4 linked regions of the Mytilus edulis genome follow. The protein of the gene in region 1 purifies or fractionates together with the protein of each later gene. This does not show direct contact. Links are inferred from orthologs where the notes say so. Each region holds a gene or a part of one and is shown on either strand. Other genes may lie near its edges.

Region 1 (7,853 bases):
AGAATGGATGAATGCATGACATGTTACATTTTAGAACTTGAGATAAATTTCAATTTAAATACCTTTCAACATTTTTGTAAGAAAATTAGTATGCATATTATTTGCATACCTGTTTTTCATGTACCAATTTTTGATGATAACTGTGAACCACAAATTCAGATCTTTTTTTTTAAATTAAAAAAAAAAAAATTTATGCAAAAATCACTTAAAAGGGTGACTCTGAAATCACTTGTACATGTATAATAAGTACCCTTGAATGATAAAGTTTTCATATAAAACTTTGATGAAGGTTAAAGATTTTAGATTTTTACATGACTTGGTAAAGAGAACCTTCATGACCTTACATTAATTTAAATAATCATGTGCAAAGTCCACCTTCCCAAACTGTTGAGTATTCATGGTATTACATGTATTACCTTCAGATAAGTGGATCTCCCTTTCCCAAACTGTTGACAAGTAAGGATTATCTTAGAGTAATTGGGCTTCCCTTTCCCAAACTATTCTCTGGTAACGACTACCTTAGGATAACTGAATCTCCCTTCCCAAACTGTTCTCTTGTAAAGATTACCTTAGGGTAATAAGATCTCCCCTCTCCAACAAGTTGACTAGTAAAGATAACCTTAGAGTAATAGGATCTCCCCTTTCTACACTGTTCACTAGTAATGATCACTTTGAAGTAATAAGGTTTCTCCCTCCCAAACTGTTAACTGGTTAAAATTACCTTATGATAATTATCCCCTTTCTTAAACTGTTCACTGGAAAGGATAACTTAGGGTAATTAGATCTCCCCTTCCTAAACTGTTCACTGGTAAGGATAACCTACTAGTAATTTGATCTCCCCTTTGTACACTGTTCACTAGTAAAGATTACTTTAAAGTCATTGGATTTCTCCCTCCCAAACTGTTAACTGGTTAAGATTACCTTATGATAATTAGATATCCCCTTTCTAAAACTGTTCACTGGTAACGATAACCTTAGAGTAATTAGATCTCCCCTTCCTAAACTGTTCACTGGTAAAGATTACCTGAGGGTAATTGGATCTCCCCTTCCTAAACTGTTCACTGGTAAGGATAACCTAAGGGTAATTGGATCTCCCCTTTCTAAACTGTTCACTGGTAAAGATTACCTGAGGGTAATTGGATCTCCCCTTTCTAAACTGTTCACTGGTAAGGATAACCTAAGGGTTATTGGATCAGTATAACGTATCACCCTCTTTAAACTGTTCACTGGCAAGGGTAACATAGATTAATCATGGTAATAGGATCTCCCCTCCCTAAACTGTTTACTGGTAAGGATTACATAAGGGTAATTTGATCTCCCCTTTCTAAACTGTTCACTGGTAAGGATTACATTAGGGTAATTGAATCTCCCCTTTCTAAACTGTTCACTGGTAAGAATTACCTTAGGATAATTTGATCACCCTTTCTAAACTGTTCACTGATAAGGATTACCTTAGGGTAATTGGATCTCCCCTTTCTAAACTGTTCACTGGTACGGATAACCTTAGGGTAATTAGATCTCCCCTTTCTAAACTGTTCACTGGTAAGGATAACCTTAGGGTAATTAGATCTCCCCTTTCTAAACTGTTCACTGATAAGGATTACCTTAGGGTAATTGGGTCTCCCTTTCTAAACTGTTCACTGGTAAGGATAACCTTAGGGTAATTAGATCTCCCCTTTCTAAACTGTTCACTGGTAAGGATAACCTTAGGGTAATTAGATCTCCCCTTTCTAAACTGTTTACTGGTAAGGATTACATTAGGGTAATTGTATCTCCCCTTTCTAAACTGTTCACTGGTAAGAATTACCTTAGGGTAATTGGATCTCCCTTTTCTAAACTGTTCACTGATAAGGATTACCTTAGGGTAATTGGATCTCCCCTTCCTAAATTGTTCACTGATAAGGACTACCTTAGGGTATTGGATCTCCCCTTCCTAAACTGTTCACTGGTAAGGATTACCTTAGGGTAATTGGATCTCCCCTTCCCAAACTGTTCACTGGTAAGGATTACCTTAGGGGTAATTAGATCTCCCCTTCTCAAACTGTTCACTGGTAAGAATTACCTTAGGTTGATTAGATCTCCCCTTCTCAAACTGTTCACTGATAGAGATAACATTAGGGTAATTAGATCTCCCCTTCCTAAACTGTTCACTGGTAAGGATTAACATAGAATAATAGGATCTCCCCTTCCTAAACTGTTCACTGGTAAGGATTACCTTAGGTTGATTGGATCTCCCCTTCTCAAACTGTTCACTGATAGAGATAACATTAGGGTAATTAGATCTCACCTTCCTAAACTGTTCACTGATAAGGACTACCTTGGAGTAATTGGATTTCCCCTTTCTAAACTGTTCACTGATAAGGATTAACATAGAGTAATAGGATCTCCCCTTCCTAAACTGTTCACTGATAAGGACTACCTTGGAGTAGATGGATCTCCCCTTCCTAAACTGTTCACTGGTAAGGATTAACATAGAATGATAGGATCTCCCCTTCCTAAACTGTTCACTCATAAGGACTACCTTGGAGTAATTGGATCTCCCCTTCCTAAACTGTTCACTGGTAAGGATTAACATAGAGTAATAGGATCTCCTCTTCCTAAAAGGTTCTTTGGTAAGGATTACCTAAGGGTTATTAGATCTCCCCTTTCCAAACAGTTCACTTGAAAGGATTAACTTAATGTAATTGGATATCCCCTCCCTAAACTGTTCACTGGTAAGAATTACCTTAAGATAGTTTGATCTCCCCTTCCCAAACTGTTCACTGGTAAAGATTACCTTCAAGTTATTGGATCTCCCCTTCCTTTTAAACTGTTCACTGGTAAGGATTACATGTACCTTAGGGTAATTGGATCTCCCCTTTAAAACTGTTCTATTTGCAAACCTTTTGAGGGTTAGGATGAGAATTCAGTGGTAAATGTGCCAACATTTCTTGATATGAAAATTCATCTCTTTCTGTGCACTGTATTACACCATCTAACACCAAAACATTACCATAAGTTTTACTGAAATAGACAACACTGACATATAATATTTACTGAGTGAAAGAGGGAACCCTTTGACATGTAATATTAACTGAAATAGGGATCACTGACAAATAGTATTTACTGAACATGCTGAAATAGCACTGACATATAAGTTTAACTTTATTAGCACTGATATTTATATATCATTATATAAGTTTTCTTAAATAGCACTGCCATATAATTTAAACTTAAATAGCACTGACATATATATAATTTAAACTTAAATAGCACTGACATATAATTTAAACTTAAATAGTACTGACATATAAGTTTAACTTAAATAGCACTGAATATATAATTTAAACTTAAATGGCACTGACATACATGACATATATATAATTTAAACTTAAATAGCACTGACATATATATAATTTAAACTTAAGTAGCACTGACATATAATTTAAACTTAAATAGTACTGACATATAATTTAAACATTTAAACTTAAATTAATAGCACTGACATATATATAATTTAAACTTAAATAGCACTGACATATAAGCTTAAATCAAATAGCACTGACAATTAAGTTTTAACTTGCAAATGTAAATACCACTGACATATAAGTTTAACTTAAATAAGATTCAAGATTCAAAGTTTTATTTAGAGTCGATATTCAATAAACTACATAACACAAGCTCTAGTGAGCTTTAAAATAGCACTGACATATAATTAAAATTTAAATAGCACTGACATATGTATAAGTTGTTTTGATCTGTTTATCATGTTTATTTGAATAGGTACATGTCCCATGATAGGGTTTCAGGTTAAGGTTAATTATAATTTCACAATTCTGCTTTTATGAAAAATATATATTTTGCTTAAAACCAATAAAACTTGTAAAATAAGAATATTTGAACACCTTTTTTGTTCACATTTTTTCTTCTCAAAATTAGCAAAAAAATATTAGGCTAATGATAAGCTGAATGATTATGCCCTTTAACTTTATTATATATCTAAATATATACACGATTGTTATACATGTTATACTTGTTGTACTAAAAATTGGAAAACATTCATCAAAACCTAGATGTTCTTATTAAAAACTTTGAAAAAGCAAATAATTCTTTACAGCTAAATTCTAAGTAACATTGTATCTTCTTTTATCTTTTAATTTTAGCATTGACTGAAAATGCATCATATAAGATAAAATAACAGTTTGGACACGTGTGTTGTTTATACAGTGAGAGATATAAAATTTTACCTTTTAAATACAATTAAATCCTGATATTTAGATTTTTCATGAAACAACAATTCTTCCACTTGGAGTGACATGCACTGTCCTGGCCATAGTTCACTTAATTCACTAAACCACCCGTCTTTAATTAAATCCATTGGTAATCAGCTGATGAACCGAAAAACGGAAACTGTTAACTTCGGGTGTTCTCTTGGATTTACCAGGTAGACGTAAAAATCAGAGGATTCCAGAAAATGGCCTCCTCAGACGAACCCTTGCCAAAATTCCATGAAAGGGTTGGATCGCTTGTCCAACTGAGTAATGAGAACAGGACAGCACAGAGAAACCATCCCGCCCAAGAGTTCAATAATGGTGTCGCTATTAGCAGAGACCCATTAAAGGAAGACCAATTATTTGAAGTCAAAATAGACAAAAAGGTTGTCCATGTCTCAGCATGTCTTATATTTTTTCTTACTTTGTCAGCGTTTCCCCAGTCCCTTAAACCAATATCAGCCTTAAAATGGTGCGATATGTCTGTGCTAACATTTTAACCAAAACCGTCTGTGCATACCCATAAACATTTGAGTGAAGGGTTGACATGTATGTATGTACTTCGAGATTCCGATAATTTAAACGCACCCCTTGATTGACTGCAAGGGTACAGTGGATCCATGTTCACTCCCTAAGGTTTAATGGAGATGTGTCCTTTACAATATTATCCCACCACCAGAACAATCTCCACCCAACACTGCCCAAGGGAGCGTGTAGGACACAGAGAAGTCTGTTATTATGGTGGAGGAAGCCGAAGTACTTGGAGAGAACCACCGGGCCACTCGGTGGAAACAGACAAACCAGAGAGATATCAGAAGATTGATCTCCAGGTCAAAGTAGGGGACAACTTTGACCAACCTAGGCCCCCAAAGTACTCATTCTAGTTTAAACTCCGGTCTGGGTACCGGAGATGTGTGTGAGAGGGTGAAAATTACCCTTCTGATGTACTGATATTTTTAGCACCCCGAGTGAGAATCGAACTCGGGACCTTTAGCACTGTAGCCATCGGTCTTAACCACTAGACCACGAACTCACATAATGTACATGGTCCAAATCTATACTATTATAAAACAAGAAGACCTCATTTTGTGTGTCGCTTCTCTTCCTTCCACGATAAATTAATCATCATGCCTCTGTGTTCTATATGTAACATGCATAGTCGCATTTGTCATTCATTCTTATGATTATTCAGATTGTGTTATTTTTGGAGAAAAACGAAAAAAAAGGAGTCCGAATATTGATTACGTCATCAGACTGACTTTTAGTCATAGATCAACTTCCGGTTTGAAACACGCACAAGTACAACCAATCGTATGATAGATAACAAAAATGAAAAAATAAATAAGCCAATCAGAGCGTTCTCCATATCATGGTGTTTAGGTCGCCAGAACCACTACTATTATACCTCCTTAGAGAGGACAATTATTTTTTGCGTTTATCTACATGTAAACTACGATTATAATACTTTAATATATAGAGACTCTCTGTATTCTGTCTGCAGTTTTCTTTGAAATATATTACTATTTTTAAAAGGAGTCATACCAGTTGAATATATATTAAAATAAGTAAAACATGTGGAAACAAGAATGTGTCCATAGTACACGGATGCCACATCGGCACTATATTTACTAAGTTTCGAGTTGATTGGACTTCAACTTCATCAAAAACTTCCTCGACCAAAAACTTTAACCTGACGCGGGATCATGAGACGGAAGGATGAACGAACAAACGCACAGACTAGAAAACATAATGCCCATAAATGGGTCATAAAAATTTATTGTTGGAAGTGAAAGTAATGATTTGGCAAAAATGAAAGTAGGGTAGAGATTAGAGGGAGGCAGGACCTTTTTTGGGACGTCGGGGTCGTGTGTTTTAAGCCCGGGATTTGGGGATCGTTTCTTACGGGATCCGGGAATATATTTTTCGATTTCGGGATATGAATTTCTTTAAATTCTGCATCTCAGGATTTCATGTTTTTAAGCCCTGGATTTCGGGATCAGGACCCCTCCGACCACCCTCAAATTGGCCTTAGTCGGTCTTAGTTATTTATACAAGATTCATATCCTACCATTGGCATGTTAACAAGGCTCTCAAAAGAAAAAGCACTTATGGATTGTCCTAGAAGCATATTTTATTAGACTAATAATGGTCTTTATATAAGCAGTTACATTTATTTCATGTTTGAAGTGGTGCAAATTTTTAATTTAATTTGACTATTACCAAAAGATGCATTGTAGCAAAGGAGAAGAATAATTGTGGTCTGAGGCACGAAACACGAAAATAATTGAATTTAACAGAAAGGAAACAAATAATCGGACTTTGGAAAAAGGGAGAGGGCTTTTGATACCTTTTATGAAATTCTCCATACATACATGTAATGTCTCTTACAAAAAATCACCCTACAGCAGTTCACAAGCTGTATATGCACGCGATTTCGTGGGTGTGTTCTAGTATTTATGATGTCTGGCAAGGCAATTTTACTTTTTTCTGTGTTGCCTCCCTGCGTCCCAGAAAAAAATTTAAAATAGCCTTGCCAGACATCGTAATTATTTGGACTACCATATACAGAACATGATCTTCCAGTATCAGTCTTTCACTGAAAAAGATTGTCAATTGAAGACGTCATTTACCAGATAGAAGGCGCGCCTGTATCCCTGCTCTACTAATTAAGAGTGTCCAATACTTTCAGAATCGTCATTCCATACGGTAGCACATGTACCTCAATATTTTATGTTCCGTAAGTATGGAAATTATCTTGATTCCCATACGTCTGGGTGACCATTCTTATTAGATTTAAATTTTCCAAATATTTTGTGCAGTCTAAAATCAAACTTTTTCCTCTGTTTGTTCAACTCGGGCTGGAGGTAACGATGCCTAGGTTTTCATGTTTATGGTCACATGGTGATGGAAGTCATATATGACAGATTCAACTAAAAAAGGTATCTGGAACTGCAAACATGTACATTTGTATATGGTCATAGGCCACTTCAAGTTTGATGTATCATACCTGCTAATCCTCACGTTTTGAGCGGGAGACTCCCCCTTAAATGCCAAAATTCGGGAAATCTCCCGCTTGCCGGTACCCTCCTGTACAGGAGTACAGAATCTACCGTTTTGAATATTTTAACCTTGAATGACAAGTTAACATTAATTACGTTTGAGGGTTGTTTTTACCTGTAAATCACAGACAATGTGTAATTAAATGGCTTCACTTGGCAACTTGGGTGTCAAACATAGTACTAATTAAGGATCATTAACGACTTTTCAATGCTTCAAGCTTTCAAAACACTTCAAAGAAATTTCGGGTTACTTCCCCAGTTTAAACCTGTTTTTTAAGTTTCCCTTCTAAAAATAATGTGAATTGATAAAACAATATGAATTAAATACAAATTGAACAAAGAATCATAAAAGGATGGCAACTAAATAATTTTTTGATGCCTAAGGGGGAAAAAATCACTTAAAAAAAATATACCTCTATTCAATGTTTGAATTGAAATTTATAATTTATTTATGGAACCAAATTGTATCTCTTGTAAATGTGCATACACATACCGTACCATGTAACCATAATCATGATAATAGTTAAAGACATGGAGTACATAT
Region 2 (7,891 bases), on another chromosome or scaffold:
CCGACCGCCCACTGTACATCCCCAAATCAATAACCGACATTTTTGACACAAAAATCCGGTTAAAAAGCGATAAACAGTTTATCATTGGTCATCTCAACTCGATTGCTTTTCTCGCTTTCGCTGTAACATAATCTATAAAAAGTCTACACACTCGAAGCTCAATTTTTATTATTTTTTTAGGCTATAGATATGCATTTTTACAAACCTGGGCTGCCAGGCCTGTGGTCCAGTGTGAAGACTGGTTTAATGTTTTGACAATTTTACAAAAGGAATGAATCCAAACAGTGAGTAAGTTAATGGTCAATTATCTTTGCAAAAACTTAGAATTTATGCAATTTCAAGAAATTCTGTGTATGGTAAATTATCATGTAATGTCAGAGATAATACCATTGTCCTATGGAATAAATGCAGTGTCAGAAGTGCAAACCTGAGCCTTGTATCCCAAACTCTGTCTAACCAACAATATGGCAGACAAAGAGTCATTGGGTCAGACAGAAATTTTCAGATATTTTTTATTGAAAACATAGTCAAAAAAATTTTAATTTCTTTTTCGGTCAGACAAACCATAAAACAGTTTGGTACAGCAGTATTCATTTTCATCTTAGTCTTCTCTAAAGCGCTCATGTGTAATAATTAATACAGACATTTACAGCTGATTTCCTAATGCTTGCAAAGTAAAACATTGGTTGGCTTGCATGCTTTGTTTGTATAATTGTTTATACAAGCTTCGTAAATAAGATTGACATCTTTAAACAATTTATATAGGCATAGTTTAACCTGTATATATCATATTTGAATTTAATTTGGTGTTATCCTAATGATTGTACAATATACAAACAAAGTAAGCAAGCTAACCAAAGTTTTGTTCTACATGCATTAGGAAATTAGCTGTAAGTGTTCCGAGAAGAATGAGTATAGAAATATGACTATCACCATGGACAGCATCATCTTTAGCATTATCTGTTACTTTGATGGTAGGTCAATTGATGTGGAATATTGATCCAAAAGTAAAATCTTTCTATTTTTATTTAATTTCAATTACAATCAAGTTTGACATTGAATCATGTGAGTTTTTTATATATTTCTCATTGTTGAAGGATGTACAGTTGTCTATAATTGTTTACATCCACTTTATTTGATCTTAGGTGGAAAATGGTGGACAGTTGTTTCATTGGCAATGAGCATACCTCATCTCCTTCATTGTCCTTATTCTTAGCTTTGATGCTTTAATACATTAATCACTGCAAAAGGAAATCCATGATATGTTTTATTAATTTTGTATAAATTTGCATTGTGTAATAGATCAAAATTATTCTTTCAGTGTATGTTCACTTGTTTTTGTTAATCTGTCTTTTGATTGAGTTGATATTTCATAGTGTGTGTTTCTATGTTGTGATGTTACACTATGGTTTCAGGTTGGGTGAAGGTAGGCAACTATGCAACATTCAAACCCTGCTGCATTTATTTGGACCTGTCCTAAGTCAGGAACCTGATGTTCAGTGGTTGTCATTTGCTGATGTGGTTCATAAGTGTTTCTGGTTTATTATATAAATTAGACCATTGGTTTACCTGTTTGAATTATTTTACATAACTCAAATCTATTTGGGGCTCTTTATCATACATGTATTTTTAGCTTGCTGTTCAGTGTAAGTCAAGGCCAAATTTGACTTATAGTTGTTTCCTTTTAACACATTGTGAATTGGATAAAAAATTGTCTCATTGGCACTCATATTACATTTTCTTATTTTTATGTTTATCCTAAACATTGTTACATGTAAACATGGTAAAGGGAAACATACCATTGATACTGGTCTGCGATATTTCTTTTTTTGGTTGTTTGCTGGCAACACCATTTTTCCATCCATCGTCCTTGACATTGTTTTCAGAGCTACCGCCATTTGTCCATTTAGCTTTGTTTTGTTCTACATTTCCACGACCTCTGCCCCTGCCGCCTCCTTTCAGATAAACAGGAACTCCAGACATTTTCTATTTTACTTTAGTAACACTGAAATAAAGTCAATGTAAGTGAAACATAGAATTTTTTTTACATATATATATAGCCATTAAACTCAATATCAAATCAAATAATAAAGGAACAACCTAACAGTGTGAATAGATTTCACAGTCAGAGCTCAGACATAAATAAGTCTGAATCTGCTTTTGACTCATAGAGGTCTAAATTTGTAATTTTTAGGATTTATATTTACTGCAAAAGGCTATAAATTCAGTATATATAACGTACCTGAACCTTTGAACAGCATGAAAAGTGTAAAGACAATATGTCCCAGCCTTACCAACCTAGGTTTGCATGCAGTTTGGTAAACACACAAAATCAAATATCAACAAATACTGTAAATTTAGAAATTATTGGGTGCACTTATAATTGCAATCTTGTCATTCATTGTCATTTAAGACTTAAATACGATTTTTATCTTTGCGATATTGAGAAAAATCCTGTTTAATTCATTTAAAAAAATTTAAAATGCAAGTTTTAATCATTGCGATTATAACCCTGTTGCATTTTCGCAATAAAAAAAATTTGTGTTATTATAGGACCTTCTATATTTATTGTTTTAATCGTAACAACCCTGCAGGGGCTAGCTGAAGGAAGCCTCCAGGTGCAGGAATTTCTCGCTGCATTGAGACCTTTTGGTGACCTTCTGCTGTTGTCTGTTCTATGGTCGGGTTGTTGATTCCTTGACACATTCCCCATTTCCATTCTCAATTTTATAGGCCAGGTATCCACTTTAAAACTTTCAGAAAACTACTGGCAGAAGATTTACCAGGCATTATTTCACTTGGGTTTAATTTTTCATATTTTAAATATAAACATGTTTTTTTAAAAGAAAAGGTGTACATGCATATGTAGTGTAATATTTATATGGTTTAATGACATAATTCTATTTGTGAAATGTACTTAAATTGTATATACATTGATATATGGTATACATAAATGCCTCTGGTGCTGTCACGCTAGTGAATATTTTGTTGCAATATTGGGTCTCAAAGTTGACAGCAAAATTCTCTCAAAAGTTGTGTTTGGTCTAGATGTCAAAGCTAAAAATGAATACCTTTTCAAGACATCATTATCAATGATTATTATTTGGGCTAGAGCTAGCTTTTAAACCATATCTCATATGTCCTTATGACATGTATGATTATTTATGACAAATTGTATACAATAGATGGCACCCTGTAAATTGTCAAAAGAATCATGAGAATATTATAAAGACCTCAGAGATACAGTTTAGCAGCTAGAGTGAAGCACCCTAAATGTGTGTTTGCAGAAGAGTATTAGTAAACACACACACACACACACACAAATCTATTGGGAAATATATATATTTTTATAACAAACATAACCAGATAACATTTAACATGTTTAAAATATATAGTACAGCAATACATGTACATGTACCAATAAATAATTATATGCAAAAAGTTAAATTTGCTTTCTGTCAGTCCTTAATAGTCCAAATGATTATGACATCTTTAACCAAGAGTTCCAAATGGTGAAGTAAATATTACTGGTGCCATCACAAGTTGGTTCACCATTATGAAATATCAGTTTCACAGATGATATATATCTGAAAAAATATCGGATATGTTCCTTATGTCATAATATAAACCTGTTCCCTTTTTACGAATGTGACCAACCGATTTCATGTTAATTATTAGAAATCCAGTAAATAGTCTAAATCGGTTGGTCACATTCGTAAAAAGGGAACAATTGAACAACACTGTGGAGCAGGATCTGCTTACCCTTCCAGAGCACATGAGATAACCCTCAGTATTTGGTATGGTTTGTGTTGCTCAATTTATTGTTTTCTATGTTGTGTCTGGTATACTGTTGTTTGTCTGTTTGTCTTGAAATTTTTAAGCCATGGCATTGTCAGTGTATTTTTGTATTTTTGATCTATAGATGAGTTTGACTGTCCCTTTGGTCTTTCGCCTCTCTTTTGAAAGGCCATTTCATTTTATTTTGCTTTTGTGTCTTATGTCACTGAAAGGTGTAAAAAAACACACATGTAATAGCCTTGTGAGACGTTATCATTATTTGGTCTATGTCACAGTGGCGGATCCAGTTGGGGTTCCGGGGGTGCGCACCCCCCCTTTATTTTTGCCGATCAATGCATTTGTATCGGGAAATATGTTTTGCACCCCCCCTTTGCCCTGGGTTAGCACGCCCCCTTTCGAAAATTACTGCATCCGCCCCTGTGTCAGAACTGTGCTCTGACTGTCTGCCACACAGTCTGGCACTGAGTGGCAAAATAAATAAAGTTTCACGAATTGTGCCTACTGCAGTTTTTTATATGTCATAAATGGGTAATTATATAACACTGGGGTTGAATTGAATATTTTGCACTGTTTGCATTGTCACTTACTCTGACATATTGTTAATATACATATATAATTCATTAAAATTTGACAGACTTTCGTCTTCGTGGGCATGAAGTTGTATAAATTCAAAGTCAAACCGGAAAAGAATCGTGGTTCCGAATTTAAAATAGTTGAAACAGGGAACCTGTCCATTATAATTTAAACATTAATGTAATATAGAACAAGTGGAATGTAGTTTATTATATATAACTCTATAAAAATGTATTTATATATAATTTTGAAAATTGTTATGATTATTCATTCACAATAAATTATTAATCTCGCCTCAACGAGAAAACAAAAATGGCGAATTCTAGAAATTGAGAAAAATATTTGACCTTTCAAAACACATTTATTCATTATTGGGTGACTGAATGGACGAAATAAGAAGGGGAGATTAAAAATTCGTATGAGTAATAACGAGAAAACCGAAGATCAGAGCGGAACAAAAGCCGCCAGGTTGGTCTTTGAAGCTCCAAACTGTCAAAATTTGATAGACCAGGTTGACAACCAGAAAATCAAACCGAAAGTTAAGGAAATCCTGACTACGCAATACGCCATTTGTTTTACTAATAAATAAATACACAAGTTCCTCAAAAATTGAAATAACATGGAATGAGTGGTTGACACATTTGACAATGAATCCAAACAAAAAACCAAACAACACCAAGTAAACTTATTTTTTTTGTCATGCAAAATTCCACATTTGGATCTGTTGTTTGTTGAAAGAATTAAGATACAAAATGTATTTGAAAGTTGTAACACATGTCAGTAATATTGCTGACGGTGTTGGTGGTTTCAGTCATGCTCCACTGACATGACTGAGGCCATGTAAACAAGTTGCACTTTTATAAAATTTATATGTAACCCTCTTGCTGCCAGTTGTTTTTCAGGGTTGCATTTCTGACACATGCCAGAAAATATGATCGCTCGAAGTTAATGTGACGTGACATGCCAAACAATGGTTATTAGATATATGATGTCATGCCGTAATGACTGTATTAACATTTGATTGTAGAAACACTTTTTAATTTTCGGTCTTTTATTTTGAAAGAGGTACAGCAATGATGAGAAGCTTGCATACATTAAAACATGGACATATGTGTCCCACCGTCAGCAATACTGTACACCTTATCGCTAATCCCGGCTGACCCGGCCGCTTGAACTTTTGACGCATACAACAATCACTTTTCAATTGTCAGTCAGGGGACTTACTGAAATAAGTGATTTGTAAATCACTTATTTACTGAAATAAGTGATTTATAAATCACTTATTTATAAAGTAGCAAATTCAAAATTTTGTCATAAATTGTGATTTTGTAGTTTTACTAAAATTTTAAACACATAGGTTTAGATAATATGTTTTCATTAGTAAAATTGAAAAAAAAAACTTTTGCTTCTTTAAAGTAGCAAGGTTTATGCCTTTGATGCTATCATTTAGCTGTAAATTCTATTTTATTGGAAAAAATGCTATAATAATGGCTTAACTTAATGAACTGATACTTTATTAACAGATTTTTCCCAGCAGTGGGAGTATTTTTCCTGTAAAGTTCAAGGTTTCATCTTTCAGATTATGTAATAAAATTCTACTGTTCGCGATAAAAATTTCACTGTTCGAGGTTGTTGAAAGTAGTGGGGGTTATTAGAATAATGATACTTAAAGAAGTGATTTTTTGGAAGGAAATTGAGGTATGATACTTAAACAAGTGATTTTTATGTCATTATCCCAGATTCAGTACAAGGTCATCATCTGACATGACCTGGTCATCCTAAACAACACAGATGTTGGTTCTGATAAGTTTAGAAACATAATTAGTCCCTGGATCATTAATATTCTATATTTAAAACTACAATAAAATTAAATCACTTATTCTAGTGATAAATTTGTACTACTTAAATAGGTGATTATTAAAGAAAGACAACTCTTACTTTCAACCTCTATGAACATAATGTTACTTGAATCAGTGATTTAGAAAATCACTCATTTAAGTAAGTCCCCTGACTGATTGTGGTGTCAGATATTTTTTTTTGTGACGTCAAAATTTTACGGAAACATGTGATATACAGTAATGGCAGACAAATAGCAATAAGGTGTATAGGGTTAAAGAGCCTTTGTCATGTTTGTTGTTTACAGTTGGTTTGATAAGGCTCTAAAATGGCCCTCTTTTCCCCTTAAATTTCAAATTATGAATTTATTGACCAATATATCAACAAGATAATAGTGTAATTTTGAGAATTTCATATAAAAAAATGCCCAAAATTAGCAAATTTTAATCATTGTTAATTGTTTACAAAGAAAAATAATAAGATGAGGCAGGCATTACCTGTGAATGGGGACGAATTCTGTATGATTTAAAAAAAAATCAAACATGTTAAAAAGAGAAACGGAAATATCGTTTCCGATTTTGGTTCTGTTGTAAGGGATTTTAGTTGTGACGTTTTTTAAGTCATGACGTCATATTCAATGTAATCAAAGAAATGCTGTCAGCAGGTAATTTTTTTTTTTTTTTATAACAAACAATTTTTAAAAACGAATTAGTATTAATATAAGTTCCTTTCTTAGACATGTTAGACTGATTAATATACATTTTATTCAAAGTCTCATGCAAACAAGACCGGAAACGGAAGTAGATTTCTTCGCAAATCTGGAAATTCAAAACACAAGAAATTTTTTTTTGAATGATTTTGAGTTCATTAGGTACAATGAAAAATTCGGGAAATTTTCCCGATTTTAAAAAAAAAATTTTTTATTGAATTTTCTACTGTAATGGGGGACTTTGTCCCCATATTAAACATTTGTGTCAAAAGATGAACAAACTGTGAACATGGTGTACATGTAAGTGAATAAAATGAAGAAAAAAAATAAATACAGACAATATTTAATATGAAGGGCCACTTGTGTCATAATAGGCAGGCAAGCCATCATCTCGGGTAGATTCTGTCAAGGCAGCTGGAAGGGATAAGACAACTTAAACATTGTTAAAACATATTTGATCTTGTACCATTCAATTTAATAATCACAGCCAAATACAGCCCTTGCTGAACTTACTTCTTTTAATATTTACCTACATTTTCTTATTCTTATCTTCATGATCATATACCATGTATACATGTATATGTTTAGAAAGATTTTGTTACCTCAATCTGTTTTATTCACAACAATGATAGTTTTTATACGACCGCAAAAATTTAAAATTTTTCTCTTATATTTGAGTGTGAATTCACATTACTACATGTACTATAAGACGTATCAGGGTACTTATCTATCCCAAATTCATGTAATTGGTTTTGATGTTATATTTGTTATTCTAATAGGATTTTGTCTAATGCTTAGTCCGTTTCTGTGTGTTTTACATTTTAATGTTGTGTCCTTGTTTTCCTCTTATATTTAATGCGTTTACCTCAGTTTTAGTTTGTTACCCCGATTTTGTTTTTTTGTCCATGGATTTATGAGTTTTGAACAGCGGTATACTACTGTTGCCTTTATCATGTTTATAGGCATTATCATGAT
Region 3 (7,781 bases), on another chromosome or scaffold:
CTAAATCCGTTAGATGTGTACGGATTGATAGTTTAGTGCCTTTAGTTTTAGGTGTATGATTTTTTTTTTATTAGTTGTTAGTGGCTTTGAACTAGCTGTCAGATAACTGCGAGTACTCTCAGATCTGTTCCTAGTGTCTTTTTGTTGTCGGGATGTACAAGTTATCGGCCACGTCCACTTGTATTTTTGTCCATCTAATGAGTTGAGCCTTTTTTCAACTGATTTTGATAATTCGTTCTTATGTACTGTTATACCGCTTTTCCAGGTTAGGGGAGGGTTGGGATCCCGCTAACATGTTTAACCCCGCCACATTATTTTTGTATGTGTATGTCCCAAGAAGGGAGCCTGTAATTCAGTGGTTGTCGTTTGTTTATGTATTACATTATTTTTTTTTTTCGTTCATTTTTTTTTTTATATGAATAAGGCCGTTAGTTTTCTCGTTTGAATTGTTTTACATTGTCATATCGGGGCCTTTTATAGCCGACTATGCGGTATGATGGGCTTTGTTCATTGTTGAAGGCCGTACGATGACCTATAGTTGGTAATGTCTCTTGTGGACAGTTGTCTCATTGGCAATTATACCACATCTTCTTTTTTTTCTAATATTATATCAATAATAAAAAAGTAAAAAGTGTAAATCATCCATATCGGATCCTGTGGAGTATAGCATAATATGTATAGCAAATGCTTAGTTATATACACCGTAAGAAATGTAAAAATTCACACTCTTCAGCCAGAAAAGAGTAGAATAAGACAGACAGACAGACAGAATATTTTATTATAGTGTCACATACCAATACTGAACAATATCATACATAATAATATAAGTATAAAAATACAAATAAGAATTTAAATCGAAGTTAAAATATCGGTATCCAGCCATGACTGACTTATGAGACACTTTTGCTTTAAAACTTATTCTAACATTCATTTACAAATGAATAAATAAAACTTTTACATCACATTTAAAAAAAAAAACATTCCGTTATACACAATATTTTCTGCGGTTAAACATAAAATATAAAGATTTTGCTAAAAAGGGTTGTATACAGTCATGTGACATCAGAAAGATAAATTTGTCATCATGACTAAAATCGTAAAAATTTGGGTTAATTGCACTTGCTTTCATAAAAAGATCATATCGCAGATCTGAATAAAATTCACAATGCATTAAAAAATGTTAATAAGAAAAATCATTTAGAACAAGAGAAAAGTAAAAAAAGAACATATTTAAAAAAGGAACAGTGACTAATCAATTATAACAAAAGACACACTCTTTTGAAACTGTGACATGACCCAAGTACGTGTATGACTAGAATACGGGGTCGTGACAGTTAACAGAAACAAAGGAGGAATACCAAATAAAACATAACATACAAATTATGATACATTACCATTGCTTTTATTTCGTATCATCATTCTATAGTCACAGTCATGCCTTCAATTGCAAATGTTTTCCAGGCATTCATATACTCAGTACAGCATTATAATTTGAATGTAACAAGATTTTTTTTCCGCTGTGCAATATGTTGCAAAGGTACTTATTTTCCGATTCTTTTCTGCGAAAATAGGTTCGAGCGGAACTTGTTCATTGATTTTTTTGGGGATGATAAGTACATGTTTGTTTAAAACTAATATCACAGGAACTTATTTAACTTTTAAACTCTTAATATTAATTCGAACAATTTTGTTCCGGAACCTATTTCACATTCAGTCATAAAATTAGTTTCGGAACAAATTTTACAGTGCTGGAACATTATTTTCTGTGAAATTAATTCCGGTGGAACATATATTTCCTTTGAAATTAGTCCCGTTGAACAAATATCACACCGAAACATTTTTTTTTGTTACACATGTTCCATAGAATCACAAATTAATAATATCAATGACTAGTTTTAATGTTATTTGAAGTTTGTTAGTTGCAGCAAGGATTTGTATATCCTTGGTTGCAGATGTAATAGTTAACTCATAGCCAGAAATTAGTAGTGGTTTTGCTAATTAATATTCATAATATGTAAATGAGAATTGTACCACGTGATAGTAGTTTGAACAGACTGGCTTGATATATCATTAAAATCTTTAAAACACGGATATTATAAGTTGCCCGTCACAGAGTCCTTATTTACAATCACTTTGATATTTCCGTAAAATTGTCAGGCGGTCAAAATCAAAACAATGAACGCGAATTTAGTGAATTTTTCGTGCTTTCGTGAGTTTATACTTCTTGAAATAGAGACATTTTAATTTTACGTGGGAACCTAGAGTTCAACGACTACACATACAAGGTTTGGACTTGCTTATTCTTTGGAAATTCAAGTTTCAAAATTCACCCCGGCAACCTGTTTTTGTAATGACCTTGTAAGCCAATTTTCAACACGAAGTTTGCAAATTTGACGTTTCAGCCATTTTAGCCTGTATTTTACACTGCAATGTTAAAAGCCTCTCGCTTCGATTTTTAAAATAGCTCAGGAACCTGTATTTTTGCAACAACAGTCATTATGTTTCGTTTAAATGGTGTATATTGTTGTGTATATTCATTTTCTGCCCCGGCAACCTGTCTATCACTTAAATTAAAATTAAAACAGACATTTTTTTCAAAATTCCCTATCATTTTAATGTAATTTACGTGACCCGTATCCGATTTTTTTAGTATAATATTCAAATAAGCAAAGTGGCGTTGAGATTCTGGATATGTATACTCTTTCTAATGGAATATTAAATTGACTTGAATTATCACGCCCTACTGCTCAAGCAACCTACGATCAATCAATTTGATGAGAGTTTAGCGGTCAATATTTCAAGTGTCATCGGAAAAAGGCTCGCATCATCATTGTAAGTTGGTACATTTTTGTAGACTGACATATGTACTCATTCCCCGAAAAATCGAGGCTTCTCTCTACTTGTTCTGATTAATATCCATCATTTGGCAATTTTAAAAGCTGCCAATTTCGAAAACAACTCTATACACTTTTAAAACTGTGCAATGATACTTTTTCCATAAACATCCGTCCGGATCTATATGCCATGCATAATCGGTCACTGAACACATGAATTCTTTGGACATTTTCAACTATAAATACAAAAACAAGGCTGTAAAATTATCGGCTTGCATGCCGAGTATTAAATTCCGTTTAAAGAATAGAAAACAAACAAACAGAAAATGCAATGCTAACTGTGTACTTTGTAAGTGAAATGGATGTCTTTGATCATTGATTTGCTAGTGTGCAAATCCTTGCTATTGTAACGGAGGGGGTCGGTGACGACACCTTCCGGGACGTGTAGCGGCCAGTACTTCGCCCCTATTCGACCATTGGGATACCTGATATCAGATTATGGCTGAACAACAAACAATGATCAAACGAAACTATATTTTATTCACATATGTACAATAATTGCATGTATTAAACAAAGTCGGATATAAACAGGAGTCAGAAAACTTTCTAAACTGAAGTTTCAAAGGTAAAATGAAATTGAAGTGTTCTCAGAGTTAGTATTAAAAGTAAAGTAAATTTGCTTCGCGTTGTGTTTTTAAAGTAGTGAGATTTGCACCATAAAGGGGTGACTAACTGTGGCGAACTGCACCGAAGTAGTGGCTAACTCTTAACTCAAGTGAACTGATACAGTCCGGCGAGTATTTGGAGGCCTGTGCAAGGTCGACTCCGACTGAATATCAAATGATATTCTAAACTTGTCATTAAACAGGGTAACTTTAACTGAAACGGTACTGAAGAAAAGTTGAATAAATAAATATTCATAAAACATTATAAAAACATCGAAAGTTAAATACTAAAACAGTTAAATTAACAATCCTTACTTTTATCTTACTGTGTTTAAATAAAATTAAACTTAAAATAAACATTTAAATACTAAATAATTAATCTGTCCAAATTAAGGGGAATTAACCTAGACACATCAAGGCACATCTATTACATTATAAGTATTTTATCAAGTTGGCTGGTGACTTTTTCAAAATGTGACATATCATTTTTTTATTTTAAATCTGAGATAATTCCTTTGAAAAATAAAAAAATTAATTAGCATTTTTATTTGGTCCTGCCATTGCCGTTGTTGGTCCTGTCATTATCAGAGTTGGTCATGTCACGTTTTCTAAAGTTTCTTACATTTAAAAAAAAAAAAAAAAAAAATTTTTTTTCTTAAATCTATATATGAAATGATAAAATCTTATTATATTTCAAATTTGAGATCTAAACTTTTAAGAAATGAAAAAGTTATTAACATTTTTCATTTGGTCTTGTCATTCGGTCCAGTCATTAGTGTAACCCAAATTTTCTGATCGTTTTAAAACGTGTTTAATGCAAATTATGAAAACACAAACTTTTATTCTCTAATTATTCTTGTTTTCTGAAATCTTGCACACGAAAAAAGTCCCCAAACCCGTGGGCCAAAAGTAAAATCACAAAAATACTGAACTTAGCGGGAAATCAATTCGGAATGTCCATAATCACATGACAAAATCAAATAACAAAACGCATCAAAAATGAATGGACAAGAACTGTCACATTCCTGACTTGGTACAGGCATTTTCAAATGTAGAAAATGGTGCATTCCATTGTCGTTTTGATTTTTCCCTTAATCTTAGATATTATTTCCACGTTTTGCTTTTCTTTTATTTAATAATGTCAAAATCAAGGGACGTTATCAATGAAAATTGTAGCCTGGATCGTTACTCCTATTTGTAAAGTGAGGTCGGATACCAGACGAAATTAGCGTTCGGTACTCCTCGGTAGATTATGAATGAATGCACATGTATTTACCGATGAATACCGAATGGTTGATCGAAAGAAGTTTTGGAAGTTATTTTTCTTATGTTTCATATCTGAATCGATATTCCAATGAATATTATGAATAAGTCTAGCAGCATGACATTAGGTAATATGAACATCAATGCTATGAAGTCAAACTCACATCCAGTTTCTTTTTATGAGCCGCAACGCAGAAAAGAAAATAAAAAGGGGGAGGGTGTTCCATGACACAGGTGCTTGTTTTTGTAAAACATATTCACTATTGATATTGTAAGGTTTTATAATTATAGAAACAAGTTCCTATCGTCTATGTCTAGAGTAATGAATCTTTATGTCGCAAATATGTCCTAAGAATCTGGAAATTTTGTTAAATACAAAAGGATGGACTATTAGTCTTAATTATGACGTCTGGCAAGGCTATGTAGATTAAAATTGAAAAGTCATGAACAACTATAGATGTATTTACACAATTTGTTGACCATTAGGTTTTCCATCAACCTATTCCCCATAATTTAAAACATACATTAACATGATTAAGCCTATTACGCTATTTAAAGATTGATTAAACCGCTTATGGGTCTCATTAATTAGCGACAAGAAGACTATTTAGGGACAAGAAAACATTTTTTTTTTAGTAGATATAAAGAAATTTGTATTTAATGGTGTTTTTTTTTTAATATACGAGCAGATATGTCTAATTAAAATGTTTTATTATATAGATAGACGAAGAAATTAAACATTTGTGAGGAAGAAAGAGATTGTGAAGTTTATATTAATAAATTGGTAGATGAAGAAATTAAACATTTGTGAAGAAGAAAGAGATTGAGCTTCTTTTTTTATGTTTAAATATAAAGAATATGTAGAAGATAATGTATTTATCTGTTTTCAGCAAAGTCAAAGTATGAATATGAATGGAGATATATATGGAGCGGGCATAATAAAATATAATATTTTGATTCATTTGCTTAATGATATGCTCTAACTGTAATCTTGTTATGTCAATGCGATGCTTTATTTGTAGAACTCTCAGCCACACTTTGCCATCTTTATTATTTAAGCGTGTTTCCAGACCCCACGACGAGGACCTGGTTCTACCTTGGGTTCCATATTTTTTTTTCTTCTTAATTTCTTTTTAGTCATAATATAGTAAATATGTACATTCATCATGTTCATATCTAACATAATATTTATACAAAAGTACTCATTCTCTTAAACCGAGTCTGGTATCTCAGTATGAGAAACATTTTCATTTACCAGCACATTTAAAATCTGATCAGTTGATAAAAACTTGCCATCTAAAGTTTTTTTAATTATAATTTCATTTTGAATATTTGAATCAGTTGATTCATTTGATTCATTTGTCTCGAGCGTGCAATATATGCTGTCTACCTTAAAGGCTTTACATCAGTATAAGAGTTATCTAATTCTACATGACATGTGTCACTGCGTTTATTGCCTTGATAAACTGAATCGAAAGATTCATCTTGAGACTTAACAGTGGTATCAAAAATTGTTGGACACACATTTGATTCATTTCTTGTGCTATCTAAAGTAGGAAAGTTATGCATACTGTCTATATCAATAACAGAATTATTGTGGCTAGCTTTAACTAGCGGCACAAAGTGATCTGGAGTCCATATCAGACTGCGCCCATGACCAGAACTGGTCCATAGTATAATTTTAATTAAAAAAAATATGTTTTCTTTTCGCTAAATAGTTTCTTGTCCCTTCTTGTCGATAATTAGTGAGACCGCCTCAAAGAACTGTTATAATAAAAAAAAAAGCAATGTTTTCAAAACTTTTGACCAAGTACCAAACAATTGATCTGGAGAAACATGAACATACACTTGTTCATTCAGATAAATACCCCATTGCTAAATGTGGAGATGGCCTCAGGGGCATTTTTATGGGGCTTTAGAATCATAAATGGTCAATCAAGTGAAATGAACGAAAAGTGCTGTATTTCATTGTATTTTGAGTTTATGACTTGAAATTGAAATCTGGCAATTTTTTTTTACAAAATGAAATGATGAAAATAAAAGATCTTTTACAGAAGATTATGAATGGCAGCCTCCAACTGATGCTGAAAGGAAAGTTATTCAAGCACGAAGAGAACGCTCTGATAAGATTAGTAGCATAATGGGTGAATACCTCCTTAAAGGTTACAAAATGCTTGGTTCAACTTGCCAATTTTGTGAGGTAAAAAAATTTAAGATACAGTACAAGCACACACAAGGTGATTCAGTTAAAAAAAAATAGTCTTTATGGTGTCAGGGGATGTTTGTGCAATGGGAGGGGGAGAGAAACTGATGATTTATTGATACCACTCTGATGAATAATTACTCATAGAGTGAATTACCAACAATCACAAGCACTGGCTGTGAAATTTGATCATCATCATAGAAACTGGCAATCACCTTATGTGTACTGGAAAAAAATCCCCTCCCCCCTAAAAAAAAATCCCATAAAATTTGTAAAATTATTCAGTCTTTCAAACTTATATAAATTTTTTTAGTGATGAATGAACAAAACAATATACAGTCATGTTAATTAAATGGAAAACATGTCATCTTTGTTACCATTTACATATCTACTTACAACTACCATTCTTCATATACTTTGGTAATATTGAAATTGAGTAACATCATTACCCAAACAGATTTTTTTAACTCGTGAACATTGACATCTTTGCATAAGCTAATTATAACATGTTGCAATACGTGTGTATTGTTTTGGGTAAAGCTGTTGCTTAATCTTAAAACTGACACAATTAATTAAAGATAAGATTTTGAAATCAGACAATTTTTACAGCTTTTGCATTTTGTTCTATAAATAAGTTTTATTAAAGACGTATTTTAGCAAATATTTAAGAGAATTTCTGGTGCATAGTTGCAGTTATCAGACTATGTGTTTTGCAAGGTTGTTTGAAGGGTGTTATTCAATAATAGATTTTTTTTTCGAATTGAAAGGATGAAATTGTTGCCTTATCATACGTTTTCCTTTTTTGCTTTAAATTCA
Region 4 (7,489 bases), on another chromosome or scaffold:
ATAAAATTCAATGTTAAAATCTGATGTTCAGTAATTGTCATTTGTTGATGTGGGTCATATTAGTGTTTCTCGGTTTTTAAAGAGATTATAGCATTGTTTTTCCTGTTTAAATGGTTTAAACTAGTTTTTTCTGGACCTTTATAGCTTGCTGTTCCGTGTGAGCCAAGTCTCCACGTTGAAGACTCTAGTTTGACCTTTGATTGTTAATTTTTACAAATTATTACTTGTATGGAGAGTTGTTTTATTGGCACTCATACCACATCTTCTTATATCTAATTAATACATGAATTCAGATCAATATGTTCCTCCATCATGTCAATTAGTTGACCCACTCAGTCTCAATAACTAGTTTCTTGTCTGGATTTAGCTCATGAAATTTTCAATTAACACATGTAAGTTCTTCAACATATTTTTAGGTTTTGGTATTCAAATATATTGGCCTGTCTTGCTCCACAATAGATACATTGTAGAAATGTGCATCCGTCCCAATAAAATTGGTACCTTTAAATGTGATTACCCAGATCTTTCTTTAAATATTGTTGTTTCCTCATTATTGAAATCTAAACCTCATAGATTTTTGAGGTGCTGAAATTTGATTGTTCCCCATCTATTAGACTATTTTGATACTCTTGATATCTTAATCACTCAGTTTTCAGCTTCTTCCTAATAGTTCTTATATCAAGTTTATACTAAAAAAGATATACTTGAAGTGATATTGATCTAGAACATATTGTTATAATGGTCTAACTGTTTTAACACTGTAAGTTTGAACCCATCTTTATAGAACATGATAGAACCAAACCTCTTAGCTTATCACAGTAAATGTTATATAACATTTTTACTTTTATTATAAGAGGTTGTTCTTTGGTCAGTTTTGTTTCTGTTAACAAACTCTTGGTCAGCAATAACAACAGCACAAGCAGGAATTCAAACTCCATTTTCCTGCAACAATACAAATATGTAAAATATAAATAAGTGACTCAATGTGGCTTGTGTAGGTTCATATTATGTCAGGTGTGAGTAAAATGTGTAGAATGTTGAGATATAAAGTATAAACACATAAATTAGAATACATAAAGCCTAGAACAAACTGCCAGATAGAAATTAACAAAACACCCTCTATAAAATTATATATAATGCCTTTCAAAATTGTCAAGTTCAATATTGGTCTAATGAAGAGATAAATTATAAGAGCAGAAATATCTGGGAGTCACAGACAAAACTGTAAGCAAAATAATTCAAATCAGAGTCTGGTGAAGAGAACCTGTCACCAAGAGCCAATGCACGTCGAGTTTAAGGGGGACTATCGAACATGCACAGCCCAAGGCACAGTGGGTCAGTCTTTCGCAAGACTTAAGCAATAGCAGGCAAAACTATAAAGCAAGCAGCAAGTTGTAACAATTTTATATAGTAACTGGTCCAAATAATAATAATGATGCCGAAACAATTTACGAATAAATAAAGTTCAAATGTTCCAAATAATAAAGTCACTAATTTCACTAATCCAATTCACAGTTTAAAGTTAAAGTCCAAAATGTTCCAAATATATAAAGTTGATGTTGTCTGGTTGAACGATTACAGTTGTTTTGAGCTGTCTTTTGAGTTAGCGTTTCTCCTGAGTAGCTGAGCCTGGTTGGCTTTGGAAGCACTCCTATCTGAATAACACCGACGAGACTACACTGACGAACAACTGTTCGACTCCGATATTTAAGGCGAATCCTGAAAACTACTCATAAAATGACAGACATTGATAATTTTGATAATTGAGATAATTTGAGTATTAATAATATTGTTTACAATGTCCAAAGGTGAAATATGAATAATGTCAATTAGAGAGATACAAGTTCATTACATTTATAATCCTAATTAAAACATAATATAGCTCAGATTAATTAATGACAATTGACAAGATACCAAAGTGTTGCTCAGAGCAATTATTTACAAGTGACATGTTTCACAAAATTTACCTGATTAATTAAATTCAAATTTGTAATAAAATATTTCATAATTTCATATTTTCTAAAATAATATATTTTCTCAATAAAATTCATTTTAAAAACTTTTACCTAAAAGAACACCTATGACAGATCATTAGGGATTCTATACTAGAAAATCATACTGTCTAACAATTATGTGTGAACACCTCCCCTAGTCCTAGCTTACAGTCATTATTGCTAATAACAAATACAATATTTGTTTATTTTCGGAATGTAAAACATTAAAGACCCATTGTTGGCCTTCGGCTGTTGTCTGCTCTATGGTCGGGTTGTTGTCGCTTTGACATATTCCCAATTTCCTTTCTCAATTTTATTTTATATGCATAAATTTTAATTCAAATGTGTGAGAAAGGAGATGCTGTCCAAGTTTTCTACATTTTCGCAGCGAGAACAAAGTTTTCTACATTTTCGTAGCAAGAAATAATACATGATATATTTTCCTAAAATGTACAAACTAGTGATTTAGCATACAATCTATAATTTACTAATTTACGCTTGAAAGCATGCACCTTTATTTTACAGATGTTTCTTTTTCAGAAAATCCACAATATTTCAACCATGGGGAAGGCAAAGTTATTTATAAAACAACAATTATCGTAAAAATAAATTTAGCTGTTTGCTTTCAATAAAAGCAGGATACAGGATATATATGTGTATACTATTTTGTATCTATAAAGTAAACTGCAGATACAAGTCCTCCTTCAAGCAACTGAAGAAAAAAAAACCACACATTTGCTTCAGCTGACAAGGCACGGTTAGGTTTAGATTAATAAAGTCATGAACACTTGCTTTCTGACTGCTTGGTTTTATATAAGTTGAAATAAGTGATAAACCAAGCAGTCGGAAAGCAAGTGTCTATGACTTTCTTAATCTTATTTACACCTAACCCTGCTTTGTCAGCTTAAGCAAATGTGTGGGTGTTTTTTCAGTTGCTTAAATGAGGACTTGAAATATTTCGTCCAGCATGTACTTTTATGGTTTGTATAAAAAACTGTTAACGTGATAATACAATTACGTTTCATACGTCTATACTTTCATCGCACTTAAGAGTATGGAGCATCGGCCTTTAGTGCAGCCACAATCACCCTTTAGCGGGACCATCATACTTTAGCGCCCCCATCACACTTTAAGATAAAGGATACTACAGATACAGTTAAGTCAGCTTCATATCTTGACTTACATCTAGAAATTGACAATGAGGGTCGGTTGAAAACAAAACTTTACGACAAAAGAGATGATTTCAGCTTTCCAATTGTGAACTTTCCATTTCTAAGTAGCAACATTCCAGCAGCACCTGCATACAGGGTATATATCTCCCAATTGATACGATATTCCCGTGCTTGCATTTCCTATCATGATTTTCTTGATAGAGGGTTACTGCTCACAAGGAAGCTATTAAAACAAGAGTTCCAAATAGTGAAGTTGAAATCATCCCTTCGTAAATTTTACGGACGCCATCACGAGTTGGTTGACCGTTATGGAATAACCGTTTCACAAATGATATCGGATACGTTCCTTACGTCGTAACTACAATTCCCTTCCCTTTCATGAATATGACCTACCGAATTAGACTATTTACCAGATTTGTAATCACATAAGCAACACGACGGGTGCCATATGTGGAGCAGGATCTGCTTACCCTTCCGGAGCACCTGAGATCACCCCTAGTTTTTGGTGGGGTTCGTGTTGTTTATTCTTTAGTTTTCTATGTTGTGTCATGTGTACTATTGTTTTTCTGTTTGTCTTTTTCATTTTTAGCCATGGCGTTGTCAGTTTGTTTTAGATTTATGAGTTTGACTGTCCCTTTGGTATCTTTCGTCCCTCTTTTAAGAGTCCTACAAACATTATTGTAGCTATTTGATTGGTTATTTTGTGGATTAAATCATTATGAAATCAAAAAAGGGTTGGTTTAAGTTAGGCTACTATTTTCAGTTTCAGCAAAACAGAAAGAGGACCAATCTAAGAAATTAGTTAGCCATCACTAACAGGCAACTACAATCTACTTGCTAAGTAGAGGGTAACTTTCTGCGTCTTTTCTACATTCATACAATGAACTCTGTTTTACACTATGATTTTTGTGACTAAGCTTAAAAAGGTTAGATAGTTAAGCTTATTTTAGCATTTTTTAAAACTCGTGCCATTACTCACTCAAATCAAACATTTTTTTCCAAAACGAATTAAATAGCTCATATTAAAATTGATTAAACATAAACGTTGTTAGTACTCAATGAAGTGATAAAATTCTATTCTATCATATTTGACAATTTATGGTAAGATAAAGAATATAAAAAAAATCAATATAGTTTGACAACTTTCTAAATTCGTTTTGTTATTTTGCAAATTGCTCGCGACGAATACTACAGCCTTACCAATTTACTCGACACTAACTATGTTTACATAAAAAATGGCGGACATTCTTCAAACTTCAAAATGTCATAGTTAAAAGTTGCCTAGCGAGTTTCAAGTGTAGCTGATTCCATAATACTGGACGCAATTAAAACCTTTTTAAAGTTTTCTTAAACTGAACACTAAACAAAAGGTATTTGCATCACACAGAATGATGTGTAAATTGGTTTTGTAACAGCAGCAAGATCAAACTTGTTTATTTTAATAATGACGTGATTTACTTTACATTGTTTACTACTGTTGAATACATCTTTATGGTCAATTGAAATAAAACCACATGTACCTTCAGTAAACTGAACACTCCCATAAAAGTACAGTTACCCTTTAAAGACAAAAAAACCTAATAAATTTCCACTTATAAAAGTTATACAGTGGAGTCCACGGTGTCTGTACGGCCCGTAATATCGAGCATTAGCTGATTATGTCACCAGGGATCTCCATGGCTTGTTTAACGATGGTGCCCCACCATTGTTCAAATGTCTTCTGCCATCGTTCAAAACTTCATCGTTTTTTGTAGCCCAACGCCATTTTTTTTATCAATTAAAATCAAATGCATGTAATTGCATAACCCTTAGGCTTTTTATGTTATAATCCAATACAGTTCTAACGCCTCAGGGATATCCGGATTAAGATCGCTAATCACTTGTACCTGAGCTTGTACAGGTAGATCAACAAACCAGACAGGAGAATACTATCTGAGGATAGACGATCCATTTGTCGAATTAATCAACTCAGTTTCAGCAAATGATTATAATAATTTAGAGTAAATAAATAAATAATCCAGTTACAAAGAAAACAGTTTAACAAGTCGAACACATGCTTTATTTTGACTTACGCAATCAGCATCCCCCTTTTTTAAGAAGTACAAAATAAGACGCAAAACAGTAAATATTATTTCATCGCAAATAACTTGAGTACTGCTGTAACGATAATTAAGAATTACTTTAAAAGTTTAAAAGTAAAAACTTAAATTTTTACTGTAAAGAAATATCGTATCGTAATTCCGAATTCATTTCGTATATTACAATCAAATTGATACATTCGTGTTTCCGGTTTCTATTCAGACTCTAAAGATGCATGTTGCACAGCATCAATTTGTCAGATAAAGTCATTAAAAACCTTTTCATTTGTCAACGTTTGCTTTACAAATCTCTTTAACCTTTTACATAACCCGTACGAATCGTTTGTTGTTGCTTCAAATCAGCCATACTGGTAATGGGTTCTTAATTTGAGAGTGTCCATGAAAAATAAGCTCCACATCATATGATTTTAACCCCCATAACAATTACCAAAAATACAAGAAATCTACATGGGGACCTTCATAACAGCTTTTGTCATTCTCAACTAAGAAGGGACCATGAAGACTTGGCATTTAAATGGTTAAAAACGACAATAAATGAAAATATTGATACTTCTAATTCTATAATGAAAATTCAAATAAATATAATTTAAACAAGCAATGAATTAGCATGTTCACCATTCCTTGTATGGAGGGATAAAATACTTCCGATTGCGCTACACTGTACAGCGTAGACACGGTTTGTAATGGTGAAAGTTCCTCCATCATTCAATTTTCATCCATGGAGATCCCTGTACACAAATTAAAATCGTTCTTGTAATTGTTTTAGCCTTTCGAAGGGATGAAAAAGAATAAAATTGATAAGTTCAAGTTAATTAATAAAGTTCTGCAATCCCGTGATTTGCTATATTTGACCAATTTCCATTAAAAAAAACATCATCAGATAAAATTTGTTTTATTTAAGTCATTAAGTCAAACTAATGTCAGATTGAAATAATCTTTGCTCTGCATCCTTGGCAGTGTATTTGGTTCAAACTCAGCTATATTTCGTAGTATAAAATCTTTCCTTTATTTAAAATAAGCTATTTTTGGAAGGCATGCACGAAATCACCGGTTATTGGAGAAACTCTCAGTGCAGGGGTTTCCCTAATTTTGGACACACATTACACAAAATCGACAGGATTAAACTATACAAACAAAGATTTTATGAAATAAAAGAATGTTATGAATTTGTTCACACAATATTATCCAATTATTGGTTTGATCAGTTGAATGAAGTAAAGTCATAAGTCTTAAGTGCGCGGATACATTTGGCCCAGCTGCATTGTACATGTAACTGTTATAAGGGAGTCTGATCCCGGATCCTGCTTATTGTTTAATGAGAATCCTGCTTCTCGTTGCCATATTAGCACATGTTATTTCCCATGTCACGACAGACCGTGTGCTCCTTCTTTGGAGGATTATAAACAGTTTAAGTAGAGGATGTAAATATGATCAACAATCAAAAAATGAGGGCAGTCAATGCCAAATCTGAATTTGCTATTTATTTCATGGAAAACAAGTTATGGTTTTCAACTTTCTGTCATAACGTTTTCTCCATGAAACTAAGTACTGTAAACATTGCAAATTGTGCCCAAGTTGTCATATGCACATTTCTTCACAGATAATTGCTGACTGACCGATTCTATTTGAATGAATTAATGTTGATGATCATTAATGTCCTATCCGATAAACGGATTACCTCTAATCTTCTAATTCTATAATGAAAATTCAAATAAATATAATTTAAACAAGCAATGAATTAGCATGTTCACCATTCCTTGTATGGAGGGATAAAATACTTCCGATTGCGCTACACTGTACAGCGTAGACACGGTTTGTAATGGTGAAAGTTCCTCCATCATTCAATTTTCATCCATGGAGATCCCTGTACACAAATTAAAATCGTTCTTGTAATTGTTTTAGCCTTTCGAAGGGATGAAAAAGAATAAAATTGATAAGTTCAAGTTAATTAATAAAGTTCTGCAATCCCGTGATTTGCTATATTTGACCAATTTCCATTAAAAAAAACATCATCAGATAAAATTTGTTTTATTTAAGTCATTAAGTCAAACTAATGTCAGATTGAAATAATCTTTGCTCTGCATCCTTGGCAGTGTATTTGGTTCAAACTCAGCTATATTTCGTAGTATAAAATCTTTCCTTTATTTAAAATAAGCTATTTTTGGAAGGCATGCACGAAATCACCGGTTATTGGAGAAACTCTCAGTGCAGGGGTTTCCCTAAT

The links.
Region 2: the proteins of neuralized-like protein 4 (region 1) and ubiquitin-protein ligase E3A-like purify together in Homo sapiens (affinity purification with mass spectrometry; 3 studies listed by BioGRID and IntAct, with this or other methods). This does not show direct contact. The link is inferred for Mytilus edulis from reciprocal best matches to the Homo sapiens genes NEURL4 and UBE3A.
Region 3: the proteins of neuralized-like protein 4 (region 1) and protein ZNRD2-like purify together in Homo sapiens (co-immunoprecipitation; 4 studies listed by BioGRID and IntAct, with this or other methods). This does not show direct contact. The link is inferred for Mytilus edulis from reciprocal best matches to the Homo sapiens genes NEURL4 and ZNRD2.
Region 4: the proteins of neuralized-like protein 4 (region 1) and centrosomal protein of 290 kDa-like purify together in Homo sapiens (affinity purification with mass spectrometry; 3 studies listed by BioGRID and IntAct, with this or other methods). This does not show direct contact. The link is inferred for Mytilus edulis from reciprocal best matches to the Homo sapiens genes NEURL4 and CEP290.

The regions. Positions count from the first base shown.
Region 1 is NC_092356.1:70,055,490-70,063,342, forward strand, and holds the start of neuralized-like protein 4, read left to right. Parts: upstream 1-4,417; 5' UTR 4,418-4,453; coding exon 4,454-4,636; intron 4,637-7,853. Other genes in the region: spermidine synthase-like, read right to left, coding at 2,883-3,003, 4,227-4,357. UniProt on the Homo sapiens protein: Promotes CCP110 ubiquitination and proteasome-dependent degradation. By counteracting accumulation of CP110, maintains normal centriolar homeostasis and preventing formation of ectopic microtubular organizing centers.
Region 2 is NC_092351.1:84,601,740-84,609,630, forward strand, and holds the start of ubiquitin-protein ligase E3A-like, read left to right. Parts: upstream 1-4,657; 5' UTR 4,658-4,789; coding exon 4,790-4,839; intron 4,840-7,891. Other genes in the region: NF-X1-type zinc finger protein NFXL1-like, read right to left, coding at 1,800-1,983. UniProt on the Homo sapiens protein: E3 ubiquitin-protein ligase which accepts ubiquitin from an E2 ubiquitin-conjugating enzyme in the form of a thioester and transfers it to its substrates.
Region 3 is NC_092346.1:30,325,482-30,333,262, reverse strand, and holds the start of protein ZNRD2-like, read left to right. Parts: upstream 1-4,733; 5' UTR 4,734-4,853; coding exon 4,854-4,890; intron 4,891-6,816; coding exon 6,817-6,962; intron 6,963-7,781. UniProt on the Homo sapiens protein: Might play a role in mitosis. Antigenic molecule. Could be a centromere-associated protein. May induce anti-centromere antibodies.
Region 4 is NC_092353.1:4,363,217-4,370,705, reverse strand, and holds the start of centrosomal protein of 290 kDa-like, read left to right. Parts: upstream 1-4,354; 5' UTR 4,355-4,536; intron 4,537-7,489. Other genes in the region: uncharacterized protein, read right to left, coding at 843-938. UniProt on the Homo sapiens protein: Involved in early and late steps in cilia formation. Its association with CCP110 is required for inhibition of primary cilia formation by CCP110.